Oreochromis niloticus: one gene and its partners. The protein of the gene in region 2 purifies or fractionates together with the protein of the main gene of each other region. This does not show direct contact. Links are inferred from orthologs where the notes say so. Each region holds a gene or a part of one and is shown on either strand. Other genes may lie near its edges.

Region 1 (6,955 bases), on a different chromosome or scaffold from region 2:
TGCTGTTGAGGAGCTTACCTGTCCAAAGTGAGCTCTGGCTGCTTCAAAGCCCCCCACCTGCAGTCTCTTCTTGAACAGATCGAAGGGGTACGTGATTGTTTTGCTGATCATTCCAGCTCCACTCCCACAGACCAGACTTTTTAAGTTTCCTTGAACATGAACATAAAAAGTGACAGGATTTTAAACTCAACCCTGTGCATGTGTAAACGCTGCACAATTAAGAGTTTCCACTCACCTCCCGAGTTCCCAGCTTTGGGTCGTGGAGCCAACAACTTTTTAAAGATGTTGTAGAAGAAGAACTGCAGGCCAGCGTAAGGAAACACAGCCAAGAGCGTTGGTGACAGGCCACGGTAAAATGTTAGAGTTCCTTCTGATCGCCACATTGTAGACACAGCATGTCGCAGGTTCCTGTACACCTGGAAATATAAAACTGGGTTTCAGCAGTATACCGTGAGTGATTCTGCCTAAGGCAGGAATTAGAGAATATTTAACATGCTTTATGAATATTTCATCGTTGTAAGACTTGAAACGGCCTTCAATGCTGTTGGTAGTGTGGGAAACAAAAACCTGTGTCCAAATCCTCAAATATTTCTACATTCGCCTAATTAAACACATTTGGATATCTCTGTCCTCAACAGACAAGTGAGCAAAAATCAATACTGGATGCCCGGGATCATTTCGGGTCCTCGGGCGGCATGATTCTGTCATGGAAATCAGTGCATGGGCTCAGGAACACTTCCAGAAATCATTGCATGATCCACAAATGTAGGTTAGAGCTCCATCGTGCAAAGATAAAGTCATATGTAAATGCCACCTTCTTCTCTGAACCAAAGCTCATTTAAAATGGATTTTGGCAAAGTGGAAAACCTGTTCTCTGGACAGACTAATCAAAACGGTTTACTTTTTTTGGAAAATATTGACGCTGCATTCTGCAGACTAAAGAGCAGAGGCACCATCTGCGTTGTTATCAGAGCTCAGTTCACAAGTCTGCACCTCTGGTATGGCGGTGCGTTAGTGTCTCTGGAATTGCCACAACTGCGCCACTGATGCTGAAAAAATATATACAGGTTGTAGAGCGATATGTGTTTCCACTTAGGCAACGTCTTTTTCAGCGAAGGTCCTGCATACTTCAGCAAGACATATGCTAAACTAAATACTGCATCTATTTGTATGTAAAGGTTTTAGAACAACATATGCTCCCATCCATACAAAATCCAGCAGCTGGTCTCTTCAGTTCCCAGACAATTACAGCCTGAACAGCCTCTTACAAAGTGGTAAACAATATGTTATGAAATATGTTTCTGTTATCAAATTTAAAATGATTTAACATTTTTCTTTAAAATTTCTCAGCTTAAACACTTACTATATTTTCTGTACTCTTTAGTGAAAAAATGTGACTTTATAAGATGTGCAAGTCATTGCATTCTGTTTTTATTTACATTTTTCACAATTCTGTCAAACATTGACAGCGACAGGATCAGCAATGATTAGTCCCACCTTGGGTTCTCCCTGAGCTGCAAAGCGTGTCCGCAGTGTGTCCAGAGGCTGGCAAACCACTGTGGCAGAGCAGGCTGCCAAGCCGCCACAGACGAAATGAACGCCTGCTGTCTGGCTGTCATACGGCGTTTTCTCATGGACCAACTCTGTCAGAAACTCAAAACTCGCAAACTGCAAATTGGACACAATAAAAGCAACTGTGTTGTTGAGATTGTTTACAGTAATATAATTGTTCTGCTTAGCCTGCAGTTCACAGTTCACACTTTGTACCTGGACAGCTCCGTAGCAGATGGAGAGGAGCTGTGCCGGGATGTGGCCCTTCCAGAAAGCAGACAGTCCCTCCTCTGAATGAATGCGGCGTGTTGCCTGAAATATCCCATAGTACTTCCCCTCTGGTGTTTTTGAAGACACGCGCTCGATCTGCAGCTACAGGGGGGAAATACAGATAAGAACACAACACAACCTGCATCTATCAGGCTTCAAGAGTTGTGTGAAGAGATTAAGGTTTTTATTTCAAATACACTTTACTGTGTGAACAGTGTGGTACTGAATGCAAATGTTTGCACATGCTTTTAGTACAGTCACCAATTGAAATGTGCAGTTACTGAAGAAAATACTGAAGGTCATAGCTGCTACTTCACTGTAATCTTCAAAGTCAACATGAATTCTCACTTCTGTCCCAGAACAAGTACCTGAAATCTGATTTTAATGACGTCAAAAGGACTGATGAGGGCTCTGGTGACCATCCCGGCAGCTGAACCAGCGAAGGCCGCCTCCTCTGGGGACAGAGGTGCACTCTGGACACCAGGGTCATAGCCCACCATGTCTCTACAGCCTTAGGTTTCTAGAAACTCTAATGAAACAAATGACCAACCCTTTGTTCAGTTTAACACAGTTAAAAACAAACTTTAATTCAAGTTTAAATAGATAAAGATAATCTTAACTGCATCATGTTGGATGATAGGAGCTTGTTTTGTATGTATAATCTTAAGAACAGGTGTTTCAAAACTGTATTAAAGTGAGTATTTTGATATTTATAACAGCAGCTACATGCTAGATGTTATAAAACCTCCAGTTTGGTTTTGGGGGATGGACTTTGGAATAATACACAGTAATATATAACTCCTCTTTTCTATATACTTTTCAATGAAAATGAGAAATGGGTGCAGCAATTTACTGAAACATGCTAACATACATGGGAATGCAGTATATTTTCTGTAGATTTTTTTTTACTGTTCTAACAAGCTTGAAAGTCAATGTTTGGTATGACCACCTTTCTTATACATTACAGCCTGAAGTCTCTTAGAAAAGCTTTCTTGTAATTTCTTTAAGTAGTTTTCAGGAGAAGTTCCCCATCCATGTTTGGGATCACTGTCATTCTGAAAGCCTCCACCATGTTTTACAGATGGCTTTTCTCCTTGTCTCCCTTCCTTAAGCATGGCTTCTTGACATTCACCCTTACACTGAGACTATTTACAAGGAGACTTCAGTGAAAAGTTGATGGATCACCTGCAGGGCCAGTTGGATATCTCGTGCCCTGTGTCGGTCTTTCCTATTTCTTAAGGACATGGCTTTCATTTGCTACCCACCAGTCCAGTTTCCTCAAATGTTTTAAGGATACGCAACACTGGATGATAACTTAATTCGTGTGCCCTTTTATGCCTGAATGACTCATATGCTAGTGTTCAGTGGTTCAACAAACAAACAAAATTTTATAAGCCTTGAGGAATTATTGATAACACCACTGAAAAAATGTCAAGTATGTCTGCCTCCTCCGAAGTAAAATATAAAGAAACGAAACGTGGGGTGGCTCAAGACTTTTTCCCAGCAGCTGTTTCCTTGACATTACATTTACAGCTCCACCCATGTCATTCGACATTTGTTAGGTGTCTGTTAATGGCTCGTTTTCTTCCATGGTCACCATTTATATAATTATAACACAACCATAAAATGCCATAAAGACCAGAAAAGTTAAAAAGAAAAAAAAAACAGACATGTGGAGGACATATAATAAGACCTTGGAACTAGCTAAGCTAAGCTAAGATAAACTAAGAACAGAGCAGGGATTAACTTGACAATAATGGTAACAGAAGCAGACAAATATCACCGTACCTTCATAAATACCACATCAGCTCCAACGGTGAACCTCAACTAGTACAGTTCAAAATTAGTAGAACAGGAACAGGTTTCTACTACTTGCTAGCACGCTCCTAATATTACTGCCGGGTCGGAAGAGATTCTCCAAGACGAAATATCACGTCAAGATAAGTTCCTGCCTCACTGCACCGTGTCAAATTCAGCAAGCAACTACTTAAAACTCACATCCTCTTTTATTTAAGACATCTATAGCGTAGACAGGTGTCGAAAGTACAAGAATAAGGGCTTCGTTTACGTTAACTTTGGGTTAGGTGAAGACCATAGGGTCTGCGGCGAAGGAAAAGGAGAAAGGAGGGACTCATCTTTCTGTTGATACTTCATCTTCGAAAGGTTGGGGTTGCGTCGAGGAAAGGCTGCCTACCAGAGCATACCTCTACCTGAGCGTAGATGTGACGAATTGGCATTAAATAGGTATAATTGTCACATAATTATCCTCCATTTGTTGGTCAATTATTTAACCACCGTTTTCTTTCAGTTCGGGAAAGTATTTACCCGTTTGTACCTTTCAGCGGGCGGTTATAACGCAAGTGTAGGCTGGGTATTAAACTCCACTTTGATTCGTTAGCGTCAATGCTAGCCATTAACGTTTGGTTTCCACTACAGCTGTAACGGTTGTTGTTAATGTTGAAAACAAAGCTACCGTTAGACGAAATTTTACGTGTTCTTACACTAAACTAACGTTACCTAGTTGAATATGGAATATGGAAGTAACATTGGTGTGTCACATCACAAGTTGAAGATAACTTGGCTCGTGCTTGGTTGGGTGTTCGGTGAACTTTTTAGTTGACCTGGGTTGTATAATCCCCTCCATCCCTCAGTGAATGAGCTGCGGCCGGGGGCCAGCCAATTTGATGACTGTACAGGATTTTGCATGTATTGTGGTCACCAAAAGTGCCCGGATGTCTCCGGCTGTGGCCTTTTGATCTGTCTTTGAAAAGCTTATATTCTGCATGAAAACACCTGCAGTAACTGTCTGATTTCCACAGGTGACAGCCCTCCCGTGTAATTTGTTTACTTGCATCTGTAATGGAAAACTCTGCTGAAGACTACCGGATCCAGTCATTTGACCTGGACACGCAGAGGTTACTAAAAACAGCCTTGAAAGGTCAGCCTTTAACTTCTTCATGTGTGTCATTTTTGGACGCTGTTAAAAAAAAAAAAGCACTTAAACATAATGCTCTCTTTTTCAGATCCATCTCTGGTGAACCTGGAGAAAGTATCCAACATCATTGTGGATCAGTCTTTGAAGGACACCGTGTTCAGCAAAGAGGCTGGGCGTATTTGCTACACTATAGTGCAGGTCAGTAAGACCCAGCTATATATTGCATTCAGGCTCCCACTTTTTGTCCACCCTCCCACTGTTATCTGCCTGACACTTTGCTTGACACTTTCTGCAGGCTGAAGCCAAGCAGAACAATGGAAACGTGTTCAGGAGACACTTGTTGAACCGACTCCAGCAGGAGTTCAAAGAACGCGAGGAGATGAGGGCACGCTCTCTGCAGGAGTGGATGTGCTATGTCACGTTCATCTGCAACATCTTCGACTACCTCAAAGTAAGAGCCAGAGAGAGTTTTGAGTTTTAACATTTAGGAAGGGGAAACACAAAGCAGCTTTGTTAAATCACTCCGATTAAAAGTGGAACCTTTTCATTGCCCGTATTAAGAGGACATGCTGCTTTTTTTTCTTCTTCTGTGTCCACACTGCAGATGAACACCTCCTATAGCTGCATTTTTGGGGTCCTAATATGTTCACTGCAGCACATTTAAGTGTCCAGGAACAACCACTAAAATTTGAACAGATGCTAATTATGCTGCTTCTAAAATCTAGGTCATGTCTCATGTAGTAAGGGGTTTATTCATTGGCAGTGTAAAGATGAGCCTGAAAGGTGTGGTCCTAACACACTCAGGTTTCATCCATGCTTGGAGCCACTGGCATTTTAAACAGAGTGATCCTTATTGGAAGACTACTCAATCCTGGCTTTTGTGTAAGAGAAATCAGAGTCAAGGACTTACCACAGTTTCCTTTTCTGTTATGTTGATAATACTTAGCTGCTGTAAGGACTCCACACTGTGTTTCTTAGGTGAACAACATGCCGATGGTGGCCCTGGTTCATCCTGTGTACGACTGCCTGATGAGGTTGGCCAAACCAGACGCTCTAATGAATGAGGATGAGGTGAGGAAGATATCTGGAGAAAGTATTTATCAGTCATTTACATATAAGTGTAAAAGTGCTATAGTGGTTTTCAGGACTGATTGGGGGAGTGGGTTTGTTTTGTATAGTCAGTCGATATACCTCCTGTTCCACGGGGTGTTTTTGTCTGACTACAAATGCATATAAATCCCAAAAGGCCAATAAAAAAACTAAATCATCTCAATTGATTGCTGAAGCTTTCATAATTGCATTTTGGCCAATGAACTTCCACTTTTTTTCTGCATAGTAGAAGAGTCACCTTTCATTTTAAAGGTTAAAAAGACTTTAATAGCCATTTTTCTACAAAGTAGCCAAAGGGTTGTAATTTTGAGGAAGACCTCAGTCAGTTTTTGGCTCCACATTGTTGTGTACAAATGTTTACAAATATGTGTGTATAAAAAGAGAGATTATTTCATGACTTTTAACTTAATTTCAGTTGAATTTTAAATTCTATATAATACAGATACGTGGCAAAGGCATACTTTTTAGTTCTTAATTTATGCTACCACGCTTGTGTGCGTATTTGCCTATGAAGCGCCTACACAGAAGATTTTCAACCACTGCAAATGTGCACCCATGCCATCCTCCAGCATCCTAACTGCACATTGTTTGACATGGATGACACTGTGTTGATTAGTTGAAAAGTGGGCCAGAGAAGCACAAAAAACCCCATCAAAGATAAAAAAAAAAAAAATGCAGTATGAGAAACACAGGCAATGGCCTCTTTTAGTTTTACTTCAGCTCTTTGTAGGCTTCAACTTCACTCTTCTCTGTGGCTGGGTGGTGACCAATAACAGCACATGTAAGTGTAGTCCACAGATCTGTTGTAGCACATAATATTTATACTGCCCACATCTGGGCAGTCCATAGCTGCCGACAGTTTACCCTAACTACCGCAAAACCATAATCTCCCCTTTAGTGTGACGTTCGTTTTTACTGAGGCGTCTCCACCTTTCTCCACAGGTGGACTGTCTGGTGGTGCAGCTGCATCGCATCGGAGAGCAGCTGGAGAAGGCGGACAGCCAGCGGATGAATGACCTGTTCTTCCTCCTGCGGGACGGCTTTCTGCTCCAGGAGAGCCTCACGTCCATGGCCCGCCTGCTGCTGCTG
Region 2 (7,491 bases):
GTGTGTGTTTGTGTGTGTGTAGGCATGTATGTGTATTACCAATCAGGCCTCGCTCTACATCAGGATCTTTCAGTATCTCTGGGATGTTGTGATCCATACTAGACAAAGCTGTGAAAGGACAAAGCACAAACATGAATTCAAGGCACAAAAAGGTCCCATTTATTTCAGAATTCACTCACCAACATTTCTGTTGTCACAGAATGTCTATATTAGAAATCATTTGTCAGTGATGTGAATATGAACCCACGGTATGAACTCACAATATTTTTATGAACAGCTGACATCTAAAAATGCTCCCTGCTATACTGTGTCAGCAATGCCAAGTGTCTCTTTGCTTCCTCTGTATCACACTATAGTTCAGCCACAACGCTCTCTGCTGTCCATTGTGTCTAAATGCCAAACTCTGTGACAGTGCTCACCCATGTTTGCTTCAGTGGGGACAGTCTGTGAACTTTCTGACAGATCGTCATATTTAAAGCCTTCAACAATAACGTAAACACAACCCAACAACAGAAGGTACATATTCCAATTTCATTTGTCTGACGGTGTAAAAGTGTATCCATGCACTGTTTTCTTGAGTCTGTGCTCTTCTTCTAGACATGGAAAACATGCTAACATCTTCCTGTTTCCAACATCGGCAATGACCTAATGGAGTCACCACAGTCAGCTCAACAAAGGCTAGTTAGGGCCAGCAGATGTTTTATTTCCAGCCACTGTACACTTACTCATCAAAACTGTGTCCAGGCGTCCATCTTTGGGGCATCTCGGCTCAACAGAAGAACTTCTCTGGGGAATACCGACTGACTTTTTCCCCGCAAAAGAAGAAACGCTTCATGTTAGCGTTGACACACCGCTGCTATCCGCACTTGACTATGGCTAACGTTTCCCCTCACTGGATGAGCCAGCCAACTATCTTATTATTGACTTACTCCTTTTCTAAAGACGTTCCCGTTAATCCACGAAGGAAGTGTTCAAAATAGCATCTGAATGGCAGAAGCCTGGGAAGACAGGATGTAGCTGCAGCCAATCAGGAGAAAGCGTCGCCAGTTGTTATGGTAAACAAGAAGCGGCGAATTGGTGCCTCTTGCGCCTGCGTCACTTTTGCACCTCAATAAGAGGATACTTCCGCATTTTACAGACATAATTAAAATAATGGGCTGTTTACACTGTAACTACTGTATAAAAAAACAACGATCACATTAAACAGCATATTACCTCATTTATCCTGAAAACACAATCATGATGTAAACGATCCTTAAAAAAAGGAAAGAAAAAAATCACTGGTAAGTTATGTTCAGCAAAGTTAGTTAATTTACATAATGCATAAGATTAAAATATATAATATTTTAATTTGTATTCAAGATTTTTCCCCGTCATTTTTAATACAGTGGCCAAAATGGACATTGCCGGCCACATCTGCAGTAGGCCTTATAAGTTATTTACAATTTAAACATTAATGCTCATTAATGCTATACGTGACAATTTAACATTTGAAGATTTATAGATTTCATCATCGGTTTCTCATTCTGTTTTTTCCTCCTCCGTCTCTGCCCTCCCACCTCCTTCATTCTTCTTCTTCCTCACCTCAAGCCTCCTCTTTTTAATTAAAGTCAAGGCTCTAACACAGGAAAAACATGCATGAACATGCTTTTTATTCTCTGGACAGCTGACAACGTGACGGCTAAATAACAACAACAGGTGGTTATAAGGTAACATTATGTCAGCTAGCTAGCTCCTAAGCGTCACACTTTCCCTTTGATAAACAGTCCTGACTTCATATAAGAGTTTATTGACCGTTGAGGTAAATGGCGGACTGACAGCCTGGACTTACTGCAGATTTGATTGTCCTACAGCAGCCACCGTACCTATGATTATGCAGTTGAGTCGTGATCGGTAAGAAAACAGGTGACGACAATCTGTGTTGTTCAGTGGTGCATTATGGGTAATCTCAGTCTCTCACTGAACGTGCTCCTGTGATGAGCCAGCACATCATTGAGTGGGTGGGAGGTATTATCCACCTCTCAGACACCACCCTAAGGGAGTCCAGCTCCGTCCCCACAACATTACTGGCCTTGTGGATCAGTTTATTGAGTCTGTTGGCATCTGTGACCCTCCACCTGCTGCCCCAGCATGGCACTGGCCACAACAGACTGGTAAAAAGTCCTGAAAATTGTAATACTCATTCATAGACCTGATGCAGTAGCACCGCTATCATGAAGATGATGGCCTCAGCAGGACACCGCACAATCAACTCCCGCCTCACTACCTCCAAATCAAACAAAAAAACTTCTGTGGCAAGAAACTTCAGAGAAGTTGTCAGGCCAGTTTTCCCAAGCCTTTCTGCCCAGACAGAGTGTGCAGATGGAATACACTTGTTGATGTCTGCAAAGTTAAGGACAATAGTAAATCAAATGGAAAGGGAACAGTTCTTTTCCAGTTTTTTAGTGAAATGGACAGTCTCCTTGTGGCCAATACAACATTGCATTCCCTTTTATTTGAACCTCAAATGGTGTTGAGGTATGCAAACCAGAGGCTCTGGAACCCAGTATTGGTACAGAGCCCAGCCAGCACCACAAGCACATCCATGTAAACACCAGTACCTCCCAGGAAAAGGGGGGGAGCTTACAAAAGCAATGTCTCCAGGAGGCTGAGTCAGCAGCGCTATGACAAAACTCTGTGACAAGCTGTGGTCAACAACACTGGGCTCTGTGGTTTTAAATGTTCCAAGCTACCGTGGTTTGCAGACATTCACTGTAACGGTTTATAGTAGTGCAGACACCTGTGTGTTTTGGATCTGTCTTTTTTAGATACTATTTAAATCAGTATTTCTGTGTGCTTATTTAACAGCTCATGTGCACATAAATAAAAACAATGTTGAGTTAAAAGAGTTTTTATTTCATTTCCAGTCTTACCTCAGAGTTGCTTGGATTTAGGGAAAAATTTATAGACATAATTAAGTTACTTAAAGGGAATGCATCTGAAGACTCCAGTTTGGTGCTGGCCACTTTCCAAAACTGCAGTAAAAGCTATAAACAAGGCTAATTTATATTTAGAAAAATGCACTACATTAGAAAAGCAATAATAAATAAAGAGTATAAATAGAGGAATGAAAGTCATTATTCTCGAGTGCATTAATGTTACCATTCAAATAAAATGGCTAAGATATTTAAAAAAACAGATAGCTTTATGTTTAATATCACTAACCGAATATTTAAGAAGCCGTGGGTCATGAGTTTTCTTCTAAGATGTGATTGTGACAGAAAAACACAAAGACTAATTTCATTCATAATTATTATACTGAAATTGTCTACAAGCAACTTCAGCCCTCATAATACACCACTGAGGAACAGTAGATATTAGGTATCTCCAAAAGTTGATTCTGTTCATCTGGACGTAGCGTTTTGTGGGAGAAACGTTTCGTCACTCATCCAAGTGACTTCTTCAGTCTCAGCTGACTGCAGGTTTCCCCAAACCTTATAAACAGTACATTTGCATAATGACTGAAACCAGCCCACTGAGGGAACAATGGGCTGTGAGGTCAGTTCCTTAATCATAATTATGCAAATTCCCATGACCATTGATCAACAATCACTGACCAAAACCCACTGATCAAAGAACACTGATCAATGGCCATGAGTACCATTCACAGAGAGTTGGGGAATGGCTGCAATCACAGCATTGTAAGATGGCGAAAGATGTACCCTTAGGCCCCCTCCTCGATTCAGAGATGGTCTTTCCCTTTTCACGTAGATATTAGGTATTTAGGAATATAGATTTATTGCTAAATAAACTGGCAGGAGAACAGAATATGGTCTATAATGTACCTATTAAATGACACTGGTAACATAACACCTTACAGGACCTTCTGCTCCAAATCTGATCATCAGAATCAGGGACTGCAGGACCTTATTGTTCTAAGTCCTTTTCCTTATGGCACAAAATGTAAAGTGACAACTTCCTGAGATTCTGGTGAATGCACATCTAATTGCGGGATTAAATATTTCTAATGTCACAACTGAGAAAGCTTTTACCGGAATGATATCAGCAGAATGGAGTTCCACCGGATCACAGCACTTAAATATAAGACAATGTACTTAGTTTTATGGGCTATGGGGGAAACTATTGTGATGCAGTCTCTCTACAGCATTACGAACTCTTCCACCATATGAACATGATATCTCTGTGGAAGGCTGAGACATGGACTAAACTGTGCTGCCACGTGCTTTTTATAAATGGCACATTCCGACATGAATCTAACTGGGATTCACAAACACGTCACTTTGGTCGTCACAGATTCAGCACAGAGAGAGAACACCTTTGGAGGACTCTGAGCGAACCGCGTCAAAAAGAAAAAAAAACGAAGCACTTAGACCCGCCCCTTCTCCGTCCACTGGCCGATCGAGCACATCCGCTCGGTCACAGTTAAACATCCTGGAGGAAGCTCAGAGAAGCTCAGAGGTCACAAGAAAGCCGCACGACTATTGCCAGAGGGGATACATATGGCGTTATTGGCACAAAAATAACACCATAGCTACAGTGTGAGCACGCGCTTTTAGCCCAGCACATATTCGACAGCTGTGGGCTTCCTGCGTTCCTACTTCCGGCCACGTGACCGAGTGGATCGTTTGAGGTCGCGCGTCTTTCAGAGTTGGCGCGTATCTTCAGACTGTGAGTGCTGTAAGTTCCCAGCTGAGCACCAAGAAGTCTTCTGCTACGCAGTCTTGTTTTTTAACCGAGAACATGTCTGACTGGACCAAAGAGCGGCGACGTGAGGATCACAGCATCGAGCACGAAAAGAGGTCTGTTTACATTCCCGCCTCAGTGTGTTATTCACAGCTAAACCTTTGTCTGTGCTCGTTAAATGGAAGCCACTGCGCCAGATTAGCTAAACCTTTGTGTGCAAAGATGATGTGGACATTTTGAAAGCTACAAAACATTTACTGTACCTGATGGACCTGCGTGACTCTAGTACACGCAGTGTTCTTGCTAGTATCTATGGTTACTTTCTTTTCTTTAAGCTCGTAGAAGCTAGCAGTCTGTAGCGAGTCTGTCGTGAACAGTGGACCTGACAGTCATGCTAGCTAACAGTGCGGGTAAAAAGGTGACGATAAGGCGTTAAACACAGACAACTGCTAAAGCTAACGCTTGAATACGTTGTGGACTGAATGCTAAATGTAACACACAAGTAAGTGGATGAAACGTGAAAGGTGGTTAACAGCTGTAGTTATAACGTGAATTAAAATATCTGATATTAGAATACGCGGTCCTAAGTGCCCTCCTCCAGGAAAAACAAGAGTCACAGATGGATGATGGTCCGAACAATCGGAAGAAGTTGGCGGGAGAAATTGTCTATTAAAGGAAATGTATGGCTCCAGTTTTACCCACTGTACTCAACTAATCATTTATTATTAAATAAAATTCACCTTCTCTAAACTTTAATCTGTCTAAGAAGGTTCAAAAGAAATCCCCGGAGCATTTTGAAGCAGTTAGTGCAGCTTTGCCATTGTGGAATACGGAGACGTGAAACCGTCATGAGTGTTTTCCTGTGTGGGACCGTGCGTCCCACCGTGTGTTTGCAGTTCTTGCACATATTTGCTGGTTTTGCATTTTTAACAGCCATGATTTTTTTTCCCTAATTTGACACAGAAGAGAATGTTTTTGAGAATTGTTTGCAGAAATCTGATATCAAAACAAGAATGAATTGGCATGTTTAAATCTACACGTTTTTTTTGTGTCTTCTTGTGTAGCTTTGGCCCATCTCGGTGGTCCCACTGCAGGAAGAGGGGCGTCAATGGGAGCCTGCGGAGCAACAGCGAGGCAGATGATATTGATAAAAGAAGGAACGGACACGCCGACTCCAGCTACAAACACCCTGATCGCAGACATGCTAGGTGAGAGTAAGCTCAGTTAATGTGGAAAGTGATAAATGTATATTAATGCAGGGAACTCATAACTGAAAAGCCATGAGGCGGCTGAAGCTTTGTGGATTTTTGGCATTTGTTGGGGAAATGTTTCAGTTTTAGTGTTTCAGACCCACACAGCTTTAATGGCCCTGTTCAAAGGTGCTTTGTCAAATGTAAACAGCGTGAGAATTTCATTGGTCTGTGTAGTTCACATCCAAACTCCAGTGTAGGCTCGAGAAGAAAAACAAGTTTGTTTGTTTGTTTTAAATTAAAATAAATAACACAGTGGTTGTAAAGTAATATTTGGTAAATTATTAGAATGATTTTAGTTTGAATGGTAGTGTTTTAAAAAAATCAAACTACATTATTGCTGAGTGAAGCCAGCCAGTCTCTGCTCATGAACCACTTTAAAAAAACAGCTTACTGACTCCATTACCAACATGTGGCCACAACATCTGCAGGAACTGTAGCAGTAACATCCCTGTGTGTGTGTAACCTGTGGTATTGTCCTCCTAGCTTTACTACTCCAGAGAGCACAGGTCCAGTGTCCCGCTGTGGTCAACAGGCTGACTGGGGCAGCCAGGTGGAGGACGATGAGATGAGGAGGGATGTGCACAGAGACATGCAGCGGTAATTAAACAGTTTCTACATTATTTCAGTTGTCTTTTTAAGCACCTGAAAGCAGAGACTGGCTTCCTGTTTTGGATTGCAGACTCACTGTTTGCACTGTGTTCAGTTACAGGAGGAGGATACTGGGGGCAGAATTCACCCAGAGGGAGAGAAGGGCCTCGTCTGGCTCTTCTGGAAGGTATCTCATTCTCTCACAGACCTTTCAACTCAGAATATTCATGAACTGATGGAACACTCACTTCTCAAACCACACATCCACCTGCAGCTATACAAGTGTGCAATTATTAACATTAAATAAGACGAGACAAAACGTATTCATCCCCAAAATAATGGAAACATGAAATAAAATCAACGCAGTATCACTGAACAAAGTGGCGAGTAAGGTAAAACAGATTGCACTAATGGAGCTCAGTTATATGGTAACAAAAGTAAAGTGCTCAGCATCAAAATATGATGTGATAAATATCATATCTGCTATGAGACGATGAGGGTTTTCTGTCCTTGTGACAGCGAGGCTGAAACACGACGACGTGTCAAATATGGCTTTAACTGCTGTTTCCCCAAATCCTGAACTGATCCAGTTTTGGTTTGTCAGAACTTTTCTAGTCTTACTGACATCTCAACACACTCCAGACTACTGTTACATAGTTACTGTTACGTAGTTACATTGTATTATATCATGTCATGGGCTTTGAACTCATTACTAATGTAGTTTTGTCCATTAAACAGTAACACAGGTTTGTTTAACATGACAATAACCTTTTCATTTTTCAACAACTTTGTGTTTACAATCATTTTAGAATAAAATCATTATGAAGGAAGTCGGGCTCTTTTCGTGATGAATGTTAGTTGTGCCTCTATTTTTGTATTGTGTGCATGTGAATGTGGACTAAATGTGTCTGTGCTTCAGCTGTGACTCCAGAGAGGGAGATAACTTGGAAACCGATGAAGCTGTGTT
Region 3 (7,048 bases), on a different chromosome or scaffold from region 2:
GGGAATGGAAGCCTGAATTGGCTGGAGTGCTGTGGCTGATGCGGAGAGGACAACAAAGTAATTATGGGACAGTTAAGGATATGCATAGCACTGAGAGAGTGAGTGAGAAGAAACCAGAGACTAAGAAAAGGAAGCAACAGAAGAAGAAAGGGTCTGGAGGGGTGTAATGACCTGCTGCAATCTCCATCACGCCAATTAATTAGCCTCTGACTAGCAGCCATCTGGAACAGAGAGGGCACTTTTTCCACTCGGCTGTCTGTCTACCTATCCACAGCTCAGATTCATACATCCTCCTTTTAACACTTTATCTATTTTTGTATTGCTTATTCTTCCATCTGTCTGTTTCCCGTGTGTCTAACTATATGCAGATCTAACTGACAGTCAGACTGTTTTGGCTCTCTCCTCCAACTGTGTACCATATTGACTAAAGACCCTGATGAATCCCTGTTGTACGGCTACATATTCATAAAATGTACACATCTAACGTCACACTCAAACGCACACAAAACCCTGACAAAGGAGTAGCCGATTGCTCCAGCTGCACTTTCTTCTTTTTCCACAAGGGGTCATGATTACACTAAAAAGACTTTTTCCAGTGTTTCTAGCCCTTCTCTGCAGTCATTTGTGTCTGTGTGCAGGTGCAACCAGACTGTGGGATTCTTTTGTATTTGGATGGTTTTTGCCTGGCGGTATAACAAAAGCAGATTCACATAAGATAATCAATTATGATTCCATATCCAAGCTGCATTCACGCCTAAGATCCCCATAAATCAATGCTGATTGCTCAACTAATAGCAACAAATATTCCAATGTAAAAGAGGAGCAAACATTTAGAAAGAGATGAGTAGTTCACTTTTGTTCACACACGTTTTACATCTGAGACTGGAATTTTGAAAAGGTTATGAGCACTGCAACGACAAATATAAGTAGCAAAACAAACCCCCAAAAAGCTAAGTAAAGACAACTTTTCAGATAATAAATAAAAGAGTGTTGGTTTCTGTGAAAGTCTCTCTGTGTGTCTGATATTAACTGTTTAAGCTAGAAAGAAGACATTCAAAACAGCTTTAGTTTTTGGGATACACCTTCCAGTGAAAAAAGAAAGTACAGCAAATTCTCTAAAGCCTCCCTTAAATGAAACAGATCCTTGAATAGAAAACATTTACACCATATGTGGTTAAATGGAAAGGCTGTAGAATGTTTAATTAAAAGAAAGTGCAAAATAATGCCAAGCTAAGTGGGAAATGATACATAAGGACTTTAGTGATCTTATAATGGAAGCTCTGATTGTACAATTCAACATTTTTTTCTGGGACTATCCCAGAAACATCAACCATGTTTTGTTGGAAAGGTGTAACTGTGCTGAATCCAGAAATATAGAACATGTGACTGTATCAAAAGTGTAGTAAAAATGCTACATTAAGAAGTGTGCAATGTGTTTCGGAACAAAAAAAGGTATTAAATGAGTAAATATCCACCTTCTACAATCTCCTTTACTTATTTATTGAGTAAAATAAATAAAAAGGTGTCAGACACCCTGAAATTGGTACAGAATCTTTAACAGGTAAAGTCACTATATTGGCTATAAGAGATATTCAATAGTAGGGTATTGTGATTGACCTCACGCCATTAAAACACATGAAGTTCTAATTTGATCCATTTCTATGAGCCACAATCAACACAACTTCATGAAATGGCCAAAATTAGCTTTTGAATATTTTTATATGATTTGGAAAACTCATAGTTAAGAGCCTGATCAGCTGCAACCTGCAGTTCTTTTGTTCTGCTTTGGACTTAGCAGGTGATTTATTGGCAACCAGAATAACTGCAGTGTTACACTATAATAACTTGCACTGACAGTAACTCTCAGGACTATCATACTACTCCTGTTCAGGTAATGAACAAATGGTGCCACTCTCTTTTGTGACCCCATAATAAAAAATTTCACCAGCTTTTAAAATCACCACTAATCCTAATGCACTAGCTTGTTAAACTGTAATAGAAATGTATCTGCACTGAGTTTATTCAGTTTGTGGTTACATTAAATGTGTATTCTGCTCTTATTTAATTTATTTATGCGCTTCTAACAAGTTGAGAAACAAAAGGGGGATTCTTTAGAGTATTATAATGCTTATTTACTCTTCCTTTGTTGCTTTGGTGTCTTATGTAACTGTTTTTGTTGGAGGGCTGCAAAGTTTCAAAGTCCACTTCAAATTGAGTAATTCTCTCTGGCAGAAAACCGTGCCGCTCGACAGCCTGAAACACCTTTTTCTGCAGGGCTAGACTTTCTTCAGTGCTTATCTTCCTCACTGTGTGATACATTTGCATGATGCTTACCTAACAACCAAAAAGGAGAAAGCAGCAGCCTAACGGTCCCTTCTCTAACTAAAAGCTGCTCTGTTGCTCGCTGCAAGAGCAAATACAAGAGTCTTCGCCCACTTCCTGCAACTGCAGAGCTAAAGTCCCTGTTTATTATATTCATTTAATGGCACCATCCCCAAAGCAAAAGGAAAACCCTTAGTGAGCGAATGAGCCTAATGTCACCTTTAGCTTTGATCATTTGACCCTGGGGCCATTTGGAACTTGTAAGGCTAAAAATCATAGTCTGTGTTGGTTAAAATCACCCGGCCTTTGTTTAACATTCCCAGAAGATACAAGTTAAGAAAAGAGAACATATTTTGCCAAATTTCTCAGTTTAAAAAAAGAGTTGGATCTTGACTCAATTATAACAGAATCCTTCTTTCGTCTTGTTTCATTTCCAGCGCTCTGAAAGTTTAACCAAAAATTTGTCAGGGTGGCTTTTTGGGTATGTTGTTGATAGACGAACAAACAACTCTGAGGAACAAAAGTTCAGCATGCAAGTAATTACAGAAATGGTTAAGCCATTATCTGAAAGCATTGTGCACTGTGTAACAAAACAGCTTTTACGGGAGTCTGTCCTGTCCCCGATCCAATTCTGGTTGAGCATAGAGGGTTGAACTTAGAAGTATATAAACTGTGCGATTATCAGTTTGGGTTTTTTTTGGATGGCAGTTATTTTAGGTGTCCGCACTGGGCCACCCGAACTAATTACAGAACAGAATTTCTTCTGGAACAGGCAAGTATTGGATTCACAAAGCAAAACAACCCACCACAGAAGAATTCAGCATGCCCAGAACTCATTCAGTGGGTATCCCTTGCTCTTTGATTGAATCCAGCACCAACTATAAAGTAAAATAGGTGACCAGTGACTTATTTTTGTATGGCTAACTGACCACTGAGAGCAGACTGGGAGGGTAGCCTTAAAGAGAGTGAAATTTAGTGTTATGTAAAAAAAGTAACTGGAATTTATTTTGAACAGTGTAGCATGTAAACCTATTTTAGTGGACCGTGCTAAATAAATAATGATGTGCATAATATGGCCAATTTAAAAGATTTTTTTGTATTAATAACTAAAAAAACAAATCTGAAAAAAAAATCAGAATGCTATTTGTATTTTTATTAACAGAATTAGGTAGTAGCAGTGATTTACCTCTGTTAGATGTGTGTATATATATATATATTTTTGGATCATCAATTACCCTGGTTAAAATAATTCTCTAAAAGTAATTATATAATAATTAAAACATTTATAGGACATTTATAGGAGGTTAATGTATGCCACTGGGGGAAAATAAATAAACAACAATTAAAAATAAAAATAAAAATTTGGTCTATTGAAAGTTTATGTTAGTTGTGAGTAATTATCTGGAAATTCTGACTTAATAACTCAAAGATTCGAGATGTTATTTCCAGATTTGACGTAACATAACATGACATAAAAATTTGAAACTTTGATGGAATAACCCACAATCTTAACTCAAAGAACTTACTTTTTTGCAGTGTTGGAACCAAACTTCAATTGTTATATCTAAGGGCTGTAATAATTTAAGGGTTATATGTTTTCTGTAAGTAGCACAGAGATTCACTGGGTATGGAAATTGTGGATAACGACTAATACGCTAGTAATAAGCCCGTAACAATCTGTTACTTAACTGCACTCTATTTCCCACAGTGCTCCGCTCTTGAGTGCACGTGTCAATGATGCCAGCAGACCGGACTGAACGTCACATTCCTGCATTCCCTTTTCCCTTAGTGTGGGACGTCGGAGTTGCCACTGGATAGCTAATCCTCTTCCCCCCTCGCTTTCTTTTAGAGAAACACACCCATGACACGGCGGATTTAATCTCTGGAGGCGACCCCAGGTTCGCCAGGAGTTCGCATTTCACTTCGGGTGAGGATTTATTTCGTTTTAAGACAACTGAAGGTGTTTTTCGGTTGGAGCGTTTCAACCGTTGTAACCAGATAACAGTTTTAAGAGATGCGCTGGATTTGCTGCGAGTTGTCTCAGTGAGTGACTTGGTTATGCTGGGATTGGTTAAGCCTCCACCAGCAGACTTGTTGATACGACAGAGTTGACGGAGACTTGTTTGAATTTGTAATTTATAGCCTTTCGGTTACTGCTCCTAAGGGCTAACGCTAGCCGGCTGGTTAGCCGCAAAGCTTGCGTCACCATTGTTACCGGCGATACGCGGGCACACGCAGACACACAGACACACACACCAGGGCGTGGAAGTGCCCCCAGATGTGGCTTTGTTACCTTAACAGGGACAATGGTGTGCAGCTGTTTCAAAACCTCTGGCGTAAACGAACCGTCATGTATCTGTTCACTGACCCTGGTACACACGGTACTAGCATCACAGACAGCATGGGCGTGGTTATAAATGCTAAATAAAAAAAAAATAGCTTAAGCTATAGTGGCACAGGTTGTTAGTGTTCCTTCGGTTTCTGTAACGTTGCGTCATACTTGCTTGACAAGAATGATGGGAACAGTCGCTTAAAGCGTTAAAGTCAATCAGCTGTGCTGAGCTAGCTGCAGAGCAGCACACTGTCTCAGCTGTTGACCCTCACAACAAAGAGTGGATCATCACAGCTGCGACTGTGGCAGGACAGAGGCAGATCAACATTTCTGACAGATTTGGAACTTCTGTCTAAATATATTTTAACATAAACATTAGCTCATACTCCAATGATGAATGTGTTACATGTTATTCATTAATCATGCAGTCGTTAATGAGAAAACTTGGCAGACTTAATATTTTGATCCCTAGCCGACCTGACTGTTGCTCTTTAGCTCACACTTCGGTGAAGTTTGCGCATGGCATTCCTGGGATTCCAGCTGTTTGGGGACTGATCGGATCAGAGTGACTTTAGTGATTTAAGGAATGTTTGCATGCTGCTACAAGTCAAAAAGCAGAGAAAAAGCTAACCTTTTTAATGCAGACCTAGAAGCTAGACCTATTTTGCATGATTGCATTATACAGGTGGTATTATTAATAGAGAATTTTAAAAAAGATTGTCTGCAGTGATGAAAGGATGTCTCTGCAGTGTATTTACCTTGTCACATTACTGTGATCACTCAGGAGACATATGCTATTTCATTAGAATGCCAAGTGGTCAGTCAGGTTCAGCCACTTTCTCATTCTGTACATATTGTAGAGAGACATTTAGACCATGTTCCTTTTAGCTAATGTAAAGTCCACCCATTTGGTAACATTTAGCTGTTGTGAAGATAGTTCAGTCAATTATGATTTGGCCATGATCTGATAGTACATGAGCAAAGACATACTTGGTTGAGATTTGCCTACAGTTCCAGGGAATTCAAGGATATGTATGAAATTGAACTTTGATAATATGCCTATATTACTATCATCAAATAGCTGATCAAGAAAAAGAAACATCTGATACACTATGTGCCCCACATATGCTCAATAAAGGATACTGTGGATTCTTAATACACATTGCTACAGTGAGGAAATATTAGAAATATCCATCCAGTTGCTTTTTCACTTTGTGATATGTTGTGTAGTTAGATTGCTCTCACATTAATATAAAACTGAGTTTTGCTGATGTGTAAATGTGGCCTGAAAAAAAGTTTCATTCATACTAATCTAAGAGTCAGTGCACCATCATCACCCCCTGTGATCTGTTGTCATGGCGCATGCGAATCCTGCATTAACGTGATGAACGATCGTTATTGTGAACTCTGTCCTGGGAGACCATACAGGGACAAAAAAAGAGAAAAGACAATAATGAAAGGCCGATCTCACCAGTGATGCCAGGGTTAATTTCCATAGCAGCAGGTAACTCTTACCTCTGTGTTGTATGTCAACGTAAGCATTAGAAAATGAGCTGGTGTTTAGGGTCATGATGTAGACCTGGTTCCCTGTATGTGCGTGTAGCGCTTTGAAGAGTGTGGAGGAGGTGCAAATATAGCAGCAATGTTACGGAGAGAGTGGGAGCTGCCTGCACAAAAATGGATCATCCTGAGTCAGGCTGTGAAGCAGAGATCTAGCCTTGTTTCAGTGGGGGCTGCTCCTCATTACATTGCTTCTCTGGAACGGATGAGTGAGTGGAAAATGAGAAAGTGAGGATAGAGTGATTACACGGTTGATGAATCAGAGAAACATACAGCAGTTCTGTGAGAGATGACGGAGCTCCAACATGTTATATACTCTGTTTTTGCAGTAAGCCATTGTGCTGCTACTAGTTGTGTTGTTTGTGTGGTTGATCTTTTTGTCAGCAGTTTTGTCATCATCTCAGCCCTGACCAATAATAACCACAGCTCTGTTGAACACTCACCTTTGTGCCTGTCTTTTGACTTTTGGTTGCTGTTCACCTTTGAGGTCTCAGGACTGTTATCTACCCTCCATACATGTTAGGAAACCTGTGAGCAGGTCAGCATGCCCTCATTTGTTTGTCACACCTCCACGCTCGTGTGTCCGGACAGAAGAGCATAGCAATGTGGAGCTTCAATCCCAGCAGTTCTGCAGTACTGCACATGCCCAGTCCATTCCCGTTTGGTCAGTACAGGGACAAAGAGGGACAAAAGAGGACAATGAGGCTATTGTTTTAAGTATACACACACACCATTGTACCTCCCCTCTCGTGTGACATGTGCACACTTTTTTCTGTTAGTCTCTTCCACTGGATTCAGGTCGTTCTAATCGCACACTTGTAAGTACACATAAGA

The links.
Region 1: the proteins of slbp (region 2) and mif4gdb purify together in Homo sapiens (affinity purification with western blotting; 3 studies listed by BioGRID and IntAct, with this or other methods). This does not show direct contact. The link is inferred for Oreochromis niloticus from reciprocal best matches to the Homo sapiens genes SLBP and MIF4GD.
Region 3: the proteins of slbp (region 2) and ctif purify together in Homo sapiens (affinity purification with western blotting; 3 studies listed by BioGRID). This does not show direct contact. The link is inferred for Oreochromis niloticus from reciprocal best matches to the Homo sapiens genes SLBP and CTIF.

What each region holds. Positions count from the first base shown.
Region 1 is NC_031969.2:17,398,689-17,405,643, reverse strand, and holds the start of mif4gdb (MIF4G domain-containing protein B), read left to right. Parts: upstream 1-3,912; 5' UTR 3,913-4,065; intron 4,066-4,640; 5' UTR 4,641-4,680; coding exon 4,681-4,759; intron 4,760-4,844; coding exon 4,845-4,954; intron 4,955-5,051; coding exon 5,052-5,207; intron 5,208-5,734; coding exon 5,735-5,827; intron 5,828-6,808; coding exon 6,809-6,955. Other genes in the region: slc25a19 (mitochondrial thiamine pyrophosphate carrier), read right to left, coding at 19-149, 236-416, 1,498-1,668, 1,768-1,923, 2,190-2,321. UniProt on the Homo sapiens protein: Functions in replication-dependent translation of histone mRNAs which differ from other eukaryotic mRNAs in that they do not end with a poly-A tail but a stem-loop. May participate in circularizing those mRNAs specifically enhancing their translation.
Region 2 is NC_031966.2:2,146,417-2,153,907, reverse strand, and holds the start of slbp (histone RNA hairpin-binding protein), read left to right. Parts: upstream 1-4,378; 5' UTR 4,379-4,740; coding exon 4,741-4,799; intron 4,800-5,040; exon of another isoform or gene 5,041-5,165; coding exon of another isoform or gene 5,166-5,185; intron 5,186-5,747; coding exon 5,748-5,891; intron 5,892-6,419; coding exon 6,420-6,533; intron 6,534-6,639; coding exon 6,640-6,711; intron 6,712-7,443; coding exon 7,444-7,491. UniProt on the Homo sapiens protein: RNA-binding protein involved in the histone pre-mRNA processing.
Region 3 is NC_031972.2:18,391,411-18,398,458, reverse strand, and holds the start of ctif (CBP80/20-dependent translation initiation factor), read left to right. Parts: upstream 1-4,041; 5' UTR 4,042-4,249; intron 4,250-7,048. UniProt on the Homo sapiens protein: Specifically required for the pioneer round of mRNA translation mediated by the cap-binding complex (CBC), that takes place during or right after mRNA export via the nuclear pore complex (NPC).